Linked DNA regions of Macaca fascicularis. The protein of the gene in region 3 purifies or fractionates together with the protein of the main gene of each other region. This does not show direct contact. Links are inferred from orthologs where the notes say so. Each region holds a gene or a part of one and is shown on either strand. Other genes may lie near its edges. The genes, in order: BOD1, SETD1A, CXXC1 and SETD1B.

Region 1 (4,824 bases), on a different chromosome or scaffold from region 3:
AACTGACCCATTGTGAATGAGCTGGTGTTAGAGGATGAGTATAATCCAACACCTGAATGTTTCTTTTGAGGGTTAAACTCTCTTGGCCAGGTGTGCAGTGGCTCACACCTGTAATTCCTGCACTTTGGAAGGCCAAGTCGGGTAGATCACTTGAGGTCAGGAATTCGAGACCAGCCTGGCCAACATGGGAAACCCCTACCTCTACTAAAAATACTAAAATTAGCCAGGTGTGGTGGCATGAGCCTGTAATCCCAGTTACTCGGGAGGCTGAGGCAGAAGAATCGCTTGAACCCAGGAAGCAGAGGCTGCAGTGAGCCAAGATCGCACCACTGCACTCCAGCCTGGGCAATACAGTGAGACTCCGTCTCAAAAAAAAAAAAAAAAAATTTAAACTGTCTTGAGTACTAAATATTGGTGTGGAGAACATCCTGGATCTTTGCCAATTCTGCATCTTCCCAGAAGCCAAGGATATTGCAGAATTTGATATTTACATCCCCTCTACTGCTTGTGTAGGATGAGGAAATAACAATAGCAGACATAATTGCTGAGGTTGGGTAGGGGGAGTTGAGCTAACAATAGGCAAAAGATGAAGGGAAGAGAGGATAATGGTGGCAGCTATGGGATTCCAATGGTGAATTGCGGCTACTTAAAAAAACTCAGGATATAAAGCCTTACCTATTGTGGGATACCAACTAGCTCTCAGGATACCTCAGGCTAAACAAGCGAGATTTAGATCCTCAAAACCTGGGTTCAAATCCTACTCTTCTACCTCTAGGTATGTGATTAGGTTAACAAACTTTCTCTGCCTCCATTTCTACGTCTGTAAATAGCAATAATGGTAGTATGTGCCTGCTTTTTAGATTATTGTGAAGCAGTGCGTGCAAAGTGCATAGCATCACTCCTGGTACTTTTTAATTATTCAATATTGGCTTATTATTATTGACAATATTTAATATTTGGGAGGAAATCCACACACATATAAGAGAGACTTAACGAAAACTTTTATTTTCTTCTTCACACTTTTCCGTTATTTTCCAATTTTCTAAAATGAGTATGCATTGCTATTAACACCCAAAGGAGGGAAACCCACAAATTTCTGAACAATAGACGTTTGACTGTTTCAACTTTTCCGGAATTTCCCGGAACACGTTGTTCAAGGAGGACATGGGGGTGCATGCTAAAAGCACGGATTGCTAGGTCTCGATCCGTAAATACTAGGTCAAAATCTTTAAGAAATAATTCTGGTAATCTATACTTTTAACCAGCTCCACAGATGACTGTTACAATCAGGCACTCCTGGGACGTGTTGATTGAATGGGAAGTCAGCAGAGAGTGGGCGGGGAAGGCCAGGCGGGTTGCAGCGATCACGAGGAGTGCGCCTACAATTCCCATATTGCCCCGCGAAATAGCGACGAGCAAGCCAGAGCCCTGCCGGGAGTTGTAGTTTCCCTTGCTAGGCCGCTGCCTATAAAGAACGCCGGAGATGGCTACAGAAAACTTCCCGCCCCACAATGCAAAGGCCAACGGCGACGCCATCTAGGGCGCGCCTGGAATCGAGCAGGCAGTTTCTGCCGCGTCTGCCACAACCTCTGCTGTCTCAGAGCTGGCCTTCGCCGCCGCCGCCCCCACCACCGCCCCCGCCGCCATCGCCACCGCCACCGCCGCCACCACCACCGTCACCTCCGCCGTTGCCGCCTTGGGGCCCTCCTCCTTCACCGCCCCCTTCGCCACCTCTACACGTTCAAGGCCTTCTGTCTTGGAGAAGAAGCTATTATCGGTCTCCCTTGTGGGCCCGGGGCACAGCCATGGCGGACGGCGGCGGCGGCGGGGGAACGGGCGCGGTGGGCGGTGGCGGAGCGGGCCAGGCCTCTGCCGGGGCAGCGACTGGCGCTACTGGGGCCAGCGGGGGCGGTGGCCCCATCAACCCGGCCTCGCTGCCACCCGGCGACCCGCAGCTCATCGCTCTCATCGTGGAGCAGCTCAAGAGCCGGGGCCTTTTTGACAGCTTCCGCCGGGACTGCCTGGCCGACGTGGACACCAAGGTAGCTGCGGCCGCCTGGGCATGGGGGAGCGGGGCTGCACGTGAGGCCGCTGGGTTGCAGCTTTGATTTTCGAAAGCCGAGAGCGAAACAAAAGATAGCTTAAAAATCTCAGCAGTGAGGTCTTACACCGCTTGGGGCAGTACGGAGAGCTTTCTGAGCGATGCACACGTGGGTTCCCGCCTGGTCATTTACTAGCTGTGATTTTACCCAGTCGCTTCTCCGAACTTGGGGTTTCGATGTGGATTTTAGAGCCTAGACCCTGTCATTCCCAAGATGGAACTCCTCTAAGGCCCTTAGTAACAAACTTCGAAACCAAGTAGTTAAGCAAGCGTGCTTTAGAATTTCCACCTGTTCCGTACTCACCACTGAGAAGCTGGCATTAAACAATGATTTGAACACACAGTCTTCACCATTTTATAACTGTTTATACGTTTTCTCTAGCTTAGTGTTTTGCAGACTTTAGTACGGCGTTGAATTAAGATAAATTGTAGAAACAGCACCCTTATTTTGCACTTCATCATTGATTAAAGGAGATTTGGTGCCTAGTTTAGATCTTAATGCATAGGTCAGTCCCACCGATAAAACACTATTTCACTTTACCTACTTGTCAGAGTGGTTTGGATTCAGTGAAATAATGGGTGTTAAGTATCAGACATACAGTAGTTGCTGGAATGTTCATTTTCTCCCTTTTCAAAACTTGCCTAACCACGACTATGGTTGTAGGTTAGGAGACTCTTGTCACTGGACTCCTACAGGGTAGTAATTTCTCCTACCAAAGCCTGTCATGGAAACATTTTGCTTACCTCACAGCAAGATTGTGAGCTTAGAATTAGACCTTCAGATAGGGAAAAACCCTAGTCTGTTTATTCATTGAACGTTTATTGGCCTCTAGTTGCCAAACTGTGTGATTACAGGAAAAAGTCACTACCCCATCCTCAAAGCTTATAGTCTAGGATAGAAAACTGACCTGTAAACCAGGTGGTAAATACGTATGTAGAGAGAGAAAGTGGTATACACTGTTACTTCTCCAAGAAGAAAATCCCATCTAGAAGTACTGTCCTTGAAACAAAGTAATTTCATACATATACATCCCAGATATGTATTGACAGAGCTTTCACCTTTCCTAGGACAAATTCTCCATTCATATTTCTTATATTCCGTTAGGTTTTGTGTGTGATTTTAAAACAAAAACGACTACAGTAGCCCGCCCCATCCAAGGTTTTGCTTTCTGCGGTTTCATTTACCCAATTGTTGCGGTATGGAAGTACTTGTGTTCAGGTAACCCTTATTTTACTTCATAATGGCCCTCAAAGAAATTCATGCGTAGTGTATATAGGGTTCAGTACTACCTGAGGTTTCAGGCACCCACTGGGGGTCTTGGAACGGATCCCCTGAGGGGAAAGGGACTACTGTCTTGAGCGACTGTTGAGGGAGAGTGGTTGGAACCTTCCCATGTTCAGCTCCTTAGCTCTTCCTTCTATTACAGGTTGTTTTAATTCTTGAAGATAATGTTTTTTCAGGCATATGTTATCTGAGACCTTCGTTGCTTTAGCCCAATGGTTCTCAAAGTGTGGTGCTTGGATTAACACCAGCATCACCTGAGAACTTGTTAGAACTGCACATATTGGGCCCCACCCCAGACTGCTGAAGTAATTAGGGGAAATTGAACAGATGTCTGTAATTTGCAGTGCATCCAAAAACAAATAGAACTGATAAGCGAACAGGTGGAGTGGTTGGCAGTACAGTAAAACGTTGAGTGGGCTCATGAGTTCCTTTGACTTCTTGAACTGAGATTATTCTGTATCACCTGGGTTTGTTACATGTTTTGGTGGTGATGTTCACTGACCTTTGTCCTTTTTCAATAAACAGTTTGTATCATCTCAAACCAGGTGAGTTCTTTTGAGTAGAAGGTGTGGTATCAGGATTTATGCTTACAAGGGACAAAAATAATCCTAACTGCTTTATGCAAAGGGGAGAATCTATTGCCTCATGGAATCCAAGGAAGGATTGAATGAACAAACTCTCCCAGAGGGTAGGCATGCATTTGGAACCAGATATTCCCCACTCGTTCTATGTCTTTCATCTCTGTTGATTCCTGTTTTACTGTTGCTTCAGAGTGGAATCATCCATTTGGTTACTAGCATCTCTTGATTACATTTTACAGCTTCTTCCTCTCGAGAGACTGTCAGCTCCAATTTGAGAAATCCCAGGGAATGTGTGCATTGTCTTAGCATGGCTCAGGCACCCATTCCTGTGGCACCCTCTGCCCTACCCTCGTGAAAAGAGGAAGACAGTTACTAGAAAGAAGGCGTTGCTAGGCAGATAGCACATGGTATCGGTGAATTTTACTCCTCTGCCCCCATTTCCTTGCCTTTCTCTTTTCCAGGTTTAGTGGAATCTTTGAGTTTGCTTTCTCAGCCTTTCGGAAGAGGCCAGTTGTGGAATTGAGGCCTGCTGATTCCTTTGTCAACTTCATTTCCCTGTTAGCAAACTTTGCCACAGTAATGCTGCATAACAAACTGAATCTCAGCAGCTTATAACCAGCACGGTTCACATGTTCACGGGGCAGCTAGGAAGGCTTCAGCTGGTGGCTTGGCTGCAGGCTGCTCAAATGTGGGTCCAGGCTATGGGTTGATGTCAGGCCTGCTGCATGTAGAGTTACTTAAAAGTAAATGGAATAATATAAGTAAAGCGCCTGGCATTGTGCCCACCCACCATCAAGTGGGCACTTGTGTTAACCATTAATTCCTGACTGCCACACTGCATGGTGATCTTCATGCAT
Region 2 (2,745 bases), on a different chromosome or scaffold from region 3:
GAAAGCCCCAGAGCCTTCTGCAGGAGAGGGCCCCGTGGCTAGTGAGCTCCCTGTCTAGGCTGACACCAGTGTCCAGGCAAAGGCAAGGGTGGCCCAACCCAAGCAGTGGCAGCAGAGGTGACAGAGAAGGTGCAAGGTGGTTGACTGAGCTCAGCAGTGAGAGGGTGAGGGGGATAGGAGGCCCTTGGTGCTGCTCTTAGCCGCTGGGAGTATGGTGGGATGGCCAGTGAGCTGGGAGTGAGGAGGAAGAACAGATATGTGGTCAAGATGAGCTCCAGTCTGGACATGTGGGGTTGCAGTGCCCCAGGGACATCTAGGGGACGACGCCCAGCAGCTCCACTGAGGTGGCTTTTGGCTGGAAATGGAAGTTTGGGAGGAGTCCCCACCACACAGCTGGCGGCTGAGGCTCTGGAAGGGAGTGAGGTCACCCGAGGAGGGCACGCAGAGGCTCCTCACTGTCTTCTGGGAAGTAAGGGTTGCTCCTCACAGGGGTGCGGGGCCTAACATGGGCGGCCTGCTATTTGCATTGGTCGGTGGCAGCCAACAGGTGCCTGTTTTGGAGAGAGGTCCAGGGAGGAGAGATGAGCAGGGTGCCATTGGTGACATGGCCACTGTCATTTCAGGAGCTGCCCCAGCCCCAGACTTGCCCCAGCAGTCCGGGGACCCCACTGTGATCAGGCAGATGCTCGAAGGAGCCAGTGGCTCTCCTTCCCGATGCAGATTTCCCTGGAGTCCCCTGCGGGTGACTTAGAATGGCCACCAGAGGCTTAGTATGCTGCCCCAAAGAGGGAGGGCTCCTGGAAGCAGAGTCGAGAGAGTCAGTGCCGGGTTAGCGGGAGCCGGAGGCAGAGCTGCAGCTCCAGGCCTGGTGGGCATGGACCTGGGGTGCTGGCTGGCAGGTGTGCTCGCGGGCAGGAAGTGGGGGGCTCTTCCCTGACCATCGCATCTCACCCTGACAGATGGTGGCCGACATGCGGGAGAAGCGCTACGTGCAGGAGGGCATTGGCAGCAGCTACCTGTTCCGGGTGGACCATGACACCATCATCGATGCCACCAAGTGTGGCAACCTGGCCAGGTTCATCAACCACTGCTGCACGGTGCGTCAGGGGCTGGCCGGGGCAGGAGTTCGGGGGTCGGTGGGGGTGGCCACGGCTCACATGCCCTTCCCTCCGCAGCCCAACTGCTACGCCAAGGTCATCACCATCGAGTCCCAGAAGAAGATTGTGATCTACTCCAAGCAGCCTATCGGCGTGGACGAGGAGATCACCTACGACTACAAGTTCCCACTGGAAGACAACAAGATCCCGTGTCTGTGCGGCACGGAGAGCTGCCGGGGCTCCCTAAACTGAGGTGGGGCAGGACGGGTGCCCACACCCCTATTTATTCCCCCTGGTGCCCTGAGCTCCCAGCACCCCCCAGCCTTAGTGGGCTCAGCAGGGCCCACATGCCCCCATCTCCAAGCGTGGGGTTGGGGGGCCCCAAGCCCAGCGAGGGAGCCTCAGTCCCTGGAGGCAGCTTCTGCCTCTCCTGTCGCCCCTGCCCACCACCCCCTGATTGTTTTTCTTTGCGGAGAAGAAGCTGTAAATGTTTTGTAGCAGCCAGCAGCTGTTTCCTGTGGAAACCTGGGGTGCCGGCCTGTACAGATTCTGTCCTAGGGGCTGCACAGTCCTCTCGCTTTGTGTTAATGGGGACTTCCCCTTATGCCCTGCGTGTACCCCTCCCCAGTTTAGGGGTCTCTGGGGCAGTGGCCATGTTCCCCCCCTGGGGGGGCTCTGCACCCCCAGTCCTGGGGACTCCGTGCCTGGAACCCTGCCTCATCTGTTCCTGCCAGACCCTGAGGGTCACCCTCCCACCCTGGTGTCACGCCCCGGCTCAGCCAGGCCAGGATGGCGGGGTGGGCCCCTTCTGCTGGGCTGGACTGTACATATGTTAATAGCGCAAACCTGACGCCACATTTTTATAATTGTGATTAAACTTTATTGTACAAAAGTGCTTGGTTGGTGTATTTGGGCAGGAGCAAGGGGTTGGGGGTGGAGGGCACAGAGGATTGGGCAAGATGAAGAGAGGGAAAAGTGAGTACCTGAAGTGTGAGGCTGGTAAAGGGGCCTTCAGGCAACAACCCAGACCTGTGGAGGCCCCGAGACTGCTTTGGACCCCTAGACAGGCCGTGGCAGCCGCAGCCGCACCCACACCAGGAATCCCCCACCAGTGCCCGCCAGGGCAGTGCCAAGGTCAGGCCTCCCCTTCCCAGAACCACAGCTGCAGCTGGGCCTCTGGCCTCCTGGGAAGCCCAGCGGGAGGGAAGGCCTGAGGTCACACTGTGGGATGAGGTCACCCGCTGGCTCCACCCAGAGCCCCGGACCCCTTAGCCCACTCAGCAAGTTCCAGCTTCATCACCCCAAGTTCTCTGCTGGACCCGGATGCCAGTGGAGCACAGAGTGGCCGCCAGGGGGCGCCTTAGGGCAAGAGTGGTGGGGGTTGTGGCTGGGCGGGTCTCTGTTCCTGGAATGGGGCAGGAGGGAGAAGGAGGAGCCAGCGGAAGGGGACGGTGTGTGGGCTGGCCAGCCCTGGACGAAAGAAGAGGGCCCCTCCAGGCCAGTCTGGGCACCCTGGGACAGCGGCTGCAGGTAGGCAGAGGCGCTGCCAGTGCCCACCCAGGTGGCCTTTCCCTCCCTCCGGCCCTTCCCACCTTCCTATAACCTTCCCTCCACCTCCCTCAACTCCCGGCCTCCCCACCCTTTTACT
Region 3 (3,395 bases):
GGGACATGAGTAGGTGGTGGGGTTGTCATGAGCGGGGCAGGTGGGTCAGTGCATGCCCTGCTTGCAGCCCTGGATGAGCGACACAGAAGAGTCCCCATTCCTGGACCCTGCGCTGCGGAAGAGGGCAGTGAAAGTGAAGCATGTGAAGCGTCGGGAGAAGAAGTCTGAGAAGAAGGTGATGGAGAGGGTAAAATGGATGTGGAAAGGCAGAGGGTGGGGTTGAGGGAGAGGCAGAGGTCAGAGGCTGAATGGGGCAAGAGCCAGAAAGGGCTAGAATGGAGCAGGAGTCTGGGGTTTGGGGCTGACTTTGACTCCACCCTGACCTGACCTGTCTTGCTTAACAGAAGGAGGAGCGATACAAGCGGCATCGGCAGAAGCAGAAGCACAAGGATAAATGGAAACACCCAGAGAGGGCTGATGCCAAGGACCCTGCGTCGCTGCCCCAGTGCCTGGGGCCCGGCTGTGTGCGCCCCGCCCAGCCCAGCTCCAAGTATTGCTCAGATGACTGTGGCATGAAGCTGGCAGCCAAGTGAGTCATTCCTGAGGGGTTCAAGGGAGTCAGGAAGTACATGGTAGGGCCTGACCACCGCCTTCTGTATGTCTACCAGTCAATCAGCTGTCCACCATTCAGTCACCAAACAGCCACTACCCACTCACCCATCCACCTATCCGCCCCGTGTCCATCCAGCCACCATTCCACCAGTCACCTGTTTATTTCTCCTTTTGCCATTTAGTCATGCATCTGTTTTCCCACCCTCACTGATCATCTCACTCATTCTGTTGCTTGCTACCTTCCCTGCAGCCGCATCTATGAGATCCTCCCCCAGCGCATCCAGCAGTGGCAGCAGAGCCCTTGCATTGCTGAAGAGCACGGCAAGAAGCTGCTGGAACGCATTCGCCGAGAGCAGCAGAGTGCCCGCACTCGCCTTCAGGAAATGGAACGCCGATTCCATGAGCTTGAGGCCATCATTCTGCGTGCCAAGCAGCAGGCTGTGCGCGAGGATGAGGAGGTGAGCAAGCAGGGGCGCAGCGGGGCAGGGCCGGTACTTTGTCCTTCCTAGCCTTATTGTTCCTTCCACCCCATGCAGAGCAACGAGGGTGACAGTGATGACACAGACCTGCAGATCTTCTGTGTTTCCTGTGGGCACCCCATCAACCCACGTGTTGCCTTGCGCCACATGGAGCGCTGCTATGCCAAGGTTGGGGGTCAGACTGAGGGGGCAGACCATGTGGGAACATCGGTGGGCCAGTGGGGGACAGATTTGTTGTCTGGGTGGTGTCCTGGGAGGGCATGCAGCGCACATCCACAGTTCCCTCCATTTGTGCTCATCCCTCCAGTATGAGAGCCAGACATCCTTTGGGTCCATGTACCCCACACGCATTGAAGGGTAAGTGAGGGTGCCACGCGAAGTGAGAGGTGGGGGGTTAAGGCGGAGGTCAGAAGTGGGATGTGTGTGGAACTGGGGCAGGATACGGGCAAGGACAGGTGGACCTCCCTTTACTACCCTCTCTTTATTCCAAACCCCCAGGGCCACACGACTCTTCTGTGATGTGTATAATCCTCAGAGCAAAACATACTGTAAGCGGCTCCAGGTGCTGTGCCCCGAGCACTCACGGGACCCCAAAGTAAGGTTTTCCCTCAGCTCCTCCCATTTTGCCCCTCCTCCCTGCCTCACTGTCCCACATTCATCCCTGCCTCCCTCACCTCACCTTTCCTTCACTTTTTCCTCTCACCTTCCCTGCTGCTTCACCCTCCATTCCTCCCTTTTCCATGCCTCCTCACCGTTCCCTGAACCCTCCATTCCTTCCCTTCTCCCTCCTTGAGCCCCCATTCTTACTCTCCCTTATCACCATTATTCATCCCTCCAACCCGGCCTCCCTGCAGGTGCCAGCTGACGAGGTATGCGGGTGCCCCCTTGTACGTGATGTCTTTGAGCTCACGGGTGACTTCTGCCGCCTGCCCAAACGCCAGTGCAATCGCCATTACTGCTGGGAGAAGCTGCGGCGTGCGGAAGTGGACTTGGAGCGCGTGCGTGTGGTAGGTTTCGCTGTGGTTTCATGGTGCATGTGGTAGGTTTCCATGCCGGACGTGGCCGAGGGCAGGCGGGGCTTCAGTTGTTCCTGCTTAGGACTCCTGCCGCTCTCTTGGCAGTGGTACAAGCTGGACGAGCTGTTTGAGCAGGAGCGCAATGTGCGCACAGCCATGACAAACCGCGCGGGATTGCTGGCCTTGATGCTGCACCAGACAATCCAGCACGATCCCCTCACTACCGACCTGCGCTCCAGTGCCGACCGCTGAGCCTTCTGGCCCGGACCCCTCACACCCTGCATTCCAGATGGGGGAGCTGCCCGGTGCCCATGTGTCCGTTCCTCCACTCATCTGTTTCTCTGGTTCTCCCTGTGCCCATCCACCGGTTGACCGCCCGTCTGCCTTTATCAGAGGGTCTGTCCCCGTCGACATGTTCAGTGCCTGGTGGGGCTGCGGAGTCCACTCATCCTTGCCTCCTCTCCCTGGGTTTTGTTAATAAAATTTTGAAGAAACCAAGGAAGCTGTGTCCACATTGCTGCGGTTGCAACTGTTCCAGACTCCTGGATAAGATGGGGGGCGCCTGCACCCCGGGAGGGCCCAGGGACCCACATTCCCAGCCTCCCACAGGCAGAGGGTCTACGCAGCACGTATTCAGTGTGGTGACACCGCCCACGCGTGCTCCTGTCTCCCACCCAGAGCTGTCCTCCACTGTGGACGCCAGGCCCCGCCTTTTCCCAACAAGCCCCACGTTGGGGATTCGCCTCCTGCAGGGGCGCGCCCTCCCGCGTGCCTCAGTTTACCTGCGGTGCGTCACCGCCCCTTTCCCCGCCCCGCGCGCTCCAGCACCTGTTCGGCGGGGAGGAGGGAGCGGGACACGACCGCCCTGGGGTTGATGTTCGGAGGGACCGGCGAGCACAGGATAGACCCCAGCGAGAGATGGGAGAAGAGAGCGCCGGCTGGGTCAGGGAGTGCGCAGGCGCGAAGCAGCTTCCTCGCCGCTGTGGGTATCCGCCTCGGAGACCGCGGGAGGGAAGGGAGGGCGCAGGCGCAAGCCCTCCCCGACGACTTCCCTTCAGTTTGAGACTGGAGAGCGCATGCGCAAGCTAGATGGTCAGCGAGCACAGCCCCGACTGCAGGTCCCTCCTTCGATGGGGCACGAGCTGTCGTTGAACGTCAGCACGCAGATGCAACTGGTTTTCGGCCGGGGGGCGCGCGCCCCGCTGCAGAGCGCCAGCCCGCAGGCGCGGGAGCCTCCCTATTAAGGGCACGCGACGTCGAGGCAATAGCGCGCAGGTGCTTAGCCAGAGGCGGAGCCCGAGAGGAAGGCAGCGGACTTCCGGTTCCGGGAGCAACGAACAGCCGCGGA
Region 4 (4,571 bases), on a different chromosome or scaffold from region 3:
GGGAGGTGCTGCGGTCTCTTTAAGAAAGAGGAGGAAAGACACAGTGTCAACCCTTGAGCACCCAGAGCCGCCCACCCGGCTCTTCCCGGCTCTGCTCTTCCCTGGCGGCTCTATCGGGAACCTTATCAATGAAACAACACTCCCGGCCCCAGATTGGCTGCCACTTCCAGGGGGGAAGGGGCGGCAAGGGAGCGGGGGACACCCTGGATCCTTAGAGGACTCTCTTTTTAGTTTCCAGACCTTCTCTCGATGTATTTAAAGGCATCCTAGTGGCACTCCCTCAGTCCCCCACAAGTAAACAAACTCTGCCTCTTCCCCTAACACAGGCAACGCTGGGGACTGTCTAAACCCAGGCCACCAGGGCTCAGAGAGGGGGCCTGCGGGGGTGTCAGCGGTGGGGAAGCCTCTGGGTGGTCCCTAGGGGTGCGGTGGCCAAGGACCTGCACAGTTGGTAAATTACAGACTGTCTCCTAGCAACAGACAACACATTTAGCTCCACGCGACTCTACCCTCAGGAGGGGGCTAAGAAAATAAATCAGGTTGTGGGGCGTCGCGGGGGGGATTCCAAGGAAGAGTGGGGGTGGTCCTCCCCCCGCTGCAGGAGGGACGGGGAGGGAAAGGGTCGGGCTGACAGGTCTCCCCGCGCTCCTCCCCTGCCGGGCTCACCTTTGGTGTCCAGCTCCACGTGGATAATATTGCCCATGACGGAAGTGCTGTGCAAGTGCTGAACGGCATCCTTGGCTCCCCGGACAGTGGCAAAGACCACCTTGGCGATGCCCAGGTGCTTCTTGGTCTTCGGGTTGTACAAAATCTCCACCTCCTCCACCTCCCCATACTTCTTGCACATGTCCCTCAGGAAGTTTTCGCGGATGTTATCATTCAGCTTGGCAAATGTCACCTGCTTCGGAGGCACCGGGCCCACGTAGAACTCATCGATCTGGCAGGGGCCGAGGGGGAAGGGAGTTTGGAGAACGTTTAAACCTAAGGGAAAACACAACATTCCCCCCCGCCCCCCGCAACTCGCCCGCCCGTTGAAAACAATAAAGGGTAAAAAAAACTAAAAAAAAAAAAATTTTTTGGGGGGGGAAAATGCACGCGGGCGGGCCCGGGAAGCGGAGGATTAAATCGTTTGGAACGTGGAAGTCCTCTGGGTTCGGAAGGAAAGGGGAAAAAGAAACAGTTTCTCTTTCCCCACCCCCCATTCTGGCCTCCTCTTCCTGCTGCCGGGTCAGGGGCGACCCCTCGGGCTTAGGAAGTTGTCTTTTAGGGGGCTGGCGAGAGGGGAGAGTCTCGGGGCCAAGCCCCCGGGCGGACTGGAGCCCCCCGCGGGGCGTGCAGGACACTGTATCTACGCCGTGATTACAGTTTCACCCAGTGTTATTTTGTTTACAGTAGCTGAGAGGGGACACCCTCTCGCCAGCGCTCTACCCCTCCCCGCCAAAACTTCCCTGGCCCCGGACGGCGGGAACTGGGAATCCGGCCGGGCTCGGTCAGGACTGGCGTTATTTTCGAACTCGGGGAGGTGGGGGAGGGACGGCGGGGCAGTGGGGAGGGGTCCTACTTTGAATTTGGGCACCGACAGCTCCAGCTCCTTGTTTTTGGTCCAGATCCCGACGACCCGGGGATCTTCGACAATTTCCACCGGGCGGTTGCTGGACATCTGTAGGGAGAAATTGGGGGGCCGGGATGGGAGGGCTGGTCGCCCTCCCCAGAGGCAGACCCCTTTCTCCAGGCACTTGTCAAACTCCAGGGCTGGGGCCCCGTCTGACAGTTGGCCGGGGGGTCGGGCGGGGGGTCCCCGGCCGCTAGGCGCGTCTCCCCCGGACGCGGCGGGGGACACGGCTGGGGGGGCACGCCGGCTACTCACCGCCAGGCTGAAATGCTGCCCATCGTAGCGGTACAGTTTATGATGCCCCTTTTTCAGAGCCGGGTCAATCATCAACTTGTAACTTCTCCAATGGTGGTTCCTCCTCTCGCCCGAAGGGCCGGGCTGCGGCGGGGGCTGCTGGTGGTGGTGGTGGGGGGGGTGACTGTTCTCCATGCCGTTAACCCAACCTGAAAACCAGCAAGTTGTTGTCGTCTCCGCCGCGGCGGCGGCGGCCGCTTCTACACACACGCGAAAGAATCCAATCGGCCGGCCCCCACCCCCTCCCACCTTGCCAGCGCGCCCCGAAAGGAGCTGTCTCGCTGGCTCCCCCCAAAACAAGAATGGAGCGAGAGAATAACCCTTCCGGGAGAATTACGCGCCCGCCCGCTCGGCCACCGTCTCGGGGCGGCTGCGAGGGGCTCCCGGGGGTCCCCGGGGCGGGCTGGCGGGGCCCGGGGCGCCCGGAGGACGCGGGCTCCGGCCCATGGTGCCCGCCCGGCCGCCCGGCGTGGCGCTCGCCCGCTCGCTCGGCCCGGCTGTGGCGCGGGGCTCGCGGCAGGGCCTGGCGGCGGCGGCGGCGCCGCCACCGCCCGCCCGCCCGCCCGCTCGGGCCAGGGCCGGGGCCGGGGGCTCGGGCCGCCCGGCTGCCGGCCGCGGCCTCTCCCTCCCCGAGCCGCGCTTACATCCCCGCCGGGCGCCGGCCTCCCTGCGCCGCCAGCCAGTACATGGTGTCCCCCGCGGGAGCCGAGGCCGGGGCGGCCAGACCGGGGGCCGGGAAGGGGGGGCGCCGCCGCCGCGGCTGCCGGGCCCGGAGCTGCTGCCGCCGCCGCTGCTGCTGCTGCTGCCCGGGAGGCGGCTGGCGGCGGAGGCTCGGCTCCCAGTAGCCGCACATCCCACAATACACCGCTAAGGAGCCCGACCCGAGCGCTCACCCTCCTCCTCTTCCTCCTCCTCCTCCTCTTCCTCCTCCCCTCTCCTTCCTCGCCGCTTCCCCAGGCACTCTCCCGGCGGCGGCAGCTGCGCCGCCAAAGCCCCGGGCCCCAGCGGCCCCCCACCCCTCACTCGCGCGCTCCCACACTGCCTCCCCCTCCCCGGGGGAAGGCCTTTTAATTTATTTATTCTTCTGGGACTGGGGTGGGGGTCTTGGCTGGCGGGGGAGGGGGTCTCCCCGGGCTCTACCTCCCGCGGCCGGGACTACCCTCCGAGCCGCGGCCGCCGCGGCGTGCGTCCCGGGCCTGCAAAACTGTTTCCAAACTGCCCGGGCCGGAGGCGGGCGCGCGGGGACCCGGGGAGAGGGCTGGGGTCTAGGGGGCCGAGGGTGTGTGTGGACGCTGGGAACCGCGCGGGGAGGCCGGCGTCGACTCAGAGGAGTTGCAATCGAGGTATCTGCGCTCCAGCTTCCTCCTCCGGCCCGCGACCCCCTCCCCGGAGCTGAGCTGGGGAGGGGAGACCAGGGTTCACCACGTTAGCATTCGCATTCCTGGGAGGATGTAGCCCTCGCCTGGACCTGGGCGATAGAAGCCTTCTTCTGTTTTTATTTTTGGAGGGGATCGCCCTGTAATTGTCCTGAACACATGCTTCCCCCCCTTCCTCCAGCCACCCGCGGAGGAGAGAGTCCCCCTTTTTTGCATTTATCTTTTCCTTCCCCTTTCTTTATTAAAGGTCCGGGAGTGGCGGCGGCCAATCAGCGCGCGGCTTCCATTTTGTGAGTTCAACTCCGAGGCTCCCGGGCTTCGCGAGGACGCGTTTGCAGCCCCCTCTGCCGCTTCTCTCTGGCGGCCGAGGCGCAGGAGCCGCCTCGCCGGGGCTCGGAGCTGGTGTAGCTCATATTGGGGCTCTTTTCGGGGTTTGTAATTTGGCCGTGGGTAGGTAATTGGCTGGAGCAGGGCGGCAGGGCGCGTCAGCCAATCAGCGCGCGGCTTCTATAGGGCTTGAGTTATTAGACGCTGATCTCAAAACATCCTTCATCAGACACGAAGGAGAGGCCAACAGATGAGGGAAGCCATTTTTCTGCAATGGAATTAAATGGCCAAGTGGGTTTTTCCTTTGTTGCAAATGGGGAATGTTTTTCCTTTGACTCTACCATCCAGTTCAGGACGTCTCAGTGTGTTTAACATTTGTCAACAGGCCCAAGGACTCACAGTTGGAAGACTGGAGAAGACTTTTTAAAAAGATCTGGATTTTTCCTTATGACTTGGAATCCATCTTTGTCTTGTATAACTAGGTCATAGCACACCATTCATGTCAGCAGTTAACAGTTTTGAATTCCAAAAAAACCTAAGTAAATGACATATTTTTTTCCTTTTTGTTCTTTGGGTGGGTGGGGGGAGCTTGGAGCTGTCTTAATCTGTATTCTCTTGACTGAACAATAAATTTTTAAATATATCTAGTTTCCTCTATTAAACACTTAAACCTGGCCATCTTATTAACTCCTTCTCTCTTTTTAACAAGGTAATGTTTTAAATGTATATAGCTTTAGGACTAGCGAAATGGCAGCAACAAAAAATTGTGAGCAGTTGTTACTCTTAGTTTTTAAAAAACCTTTTACATTGTAAGTACCCAATCCATTCTGTCCTGACGCAGTACAGTTTTTATGTTAATGTTGCTGAGATGTCCTTAATTTTCCGAACCTTCATCTGCATGTATGTCTTTGTCTCTCTTGTCTAATATAAGCCAGTTAAGATGCTTTGAGACGATCTTGCTT

The links.
Region 1: the proteins of CXXC1 (region 3) and BOD1 purify together in Homo sapiens (affinity purification with mass spectrometry; 4 studies listed by BioGRID and IntAct, counting the BioPlex papers as one, with this or other methods). This does not show direct contact. The link is inferred for Macaca fascicularis from reciprocal best matches to the Homo sapiens genes CXXC1 and BOD1.
Region 2: the proteins of CXXC1 (region 3) and SETD1A purify together in Homo sapiens (affinity purification with western blotting; 16 studies listed by BioGRID and IntAct, counting the BioPlex papers as one, with this or other methods). This does not show direct contact. The link is inferred for Macaca fascicularis from reciprocal best matches to the Homo sapiens genes CXXC1 and SETD1A.
Region 4: the proteins of CXXC1 (region 3) and SETD1B purify together in Homo sapiens (affinity purification with mass spectrometry; 11 studies listed by BioGRID and IntAct, counting the BioPlex papers as one, with this or other methods). This does not show direct contact. The link is inferred for Macaca fascicularis from reciprocal best matches to the Homo sapiens genes CXXC1 and SETD1B.

Annotation. Positions count from the first base shown.
Region 1 is NC_088380.1:180,434,472-180,439,295, reverse strand, and holds the start of BOD1 (biorientation of chromosomes in cell division protein 1), read left to right. Parts: upstream 1-1,563; 5' UTR 1,564-1,805; coding exon 1,806-2,042; intron 2,043-4,824. UniProt on the Homo sapiens protein: Required for proper chromosome biorientation through the detection or correction of syntelic attachments in mitotic spindles.
Region 2 is NC_088394.1:29,161,892-29,164,636, forward strand, and holds the end of SETD1A (histone-lysine N-methyltransferase SETD1A), read left to right. Parts: intron 1-959; coding exon 960-1,097; intron 1,098-1,175; coding exon 1,176-1,349; 3' UTR 1,350-1,989; downstream 1,990-2,745. UniProt on the Homo sapiens protein: Histone methyltransferase that catalyzes methyl group transfer from S-adenosyl-L-methionine to the epsilon-amino group of 'Lys-4' of histone H3 (H3K4) via a non-processive mechanism.
Region 3 is NC_088392.1:39,459,066-39,462,460, forward strand, and holds the end of CXXC1 (CXXC-type zinc finger protein 1), read left to right. Parts: intron 1-67; coding exon 68-187; intron 188-344; coding exon 345-529; intron 530-802; coding exon 803-1,010; intron 1,011-1,088; coding exon 1,089-1,199; intron 1,200-1,338; coding exon 1,339-1,388; intron 1,389-1,529; coding exon 1,530-1,626; intron 1,627-1,885; coding exon 1,886-2,038; intron 2,039-2,152; coding exon 2,153-2,299; 3' UTR 2,300-2,545; downstream 2,546-3,395. UniProt on the Homo sapiens protein: Transcriptional activator that exhibits a unique DNA binding specificity for CpG unmethylated motifs with a preference for CpGG.
Region 4 is NC_088385.1:128,897,366-128,901,936, reverse strand, and holds the start of SETD1B (histone-lysine N-methyltransferase SETD1B), read right to left. Parts: upstream 3,258-4,571; 5' UTR 3,047-3,257; intron 2,872-3,046; exon of another isoform or gene 2,800-2,871; intron 2,770-2,799; exon of another isoform or gene 2,551-2,769; intron 2,056-2,550; 5' UTR 2,042-2,055; coding exon 1,868-2,041; intron 1,661-1,867; coding exon 1,562-1,660; intron 938-1,561; coding exon 667-937; intron 1-666. UniProt on the Homo sapiens protein: Histone methyltransferase that catalyzes methyl group transfer from S-adenosyl-L-methionine to the epsilon-amino group of 'Lys-4' of histone H3 (H3K4) via a non-processive mechanism.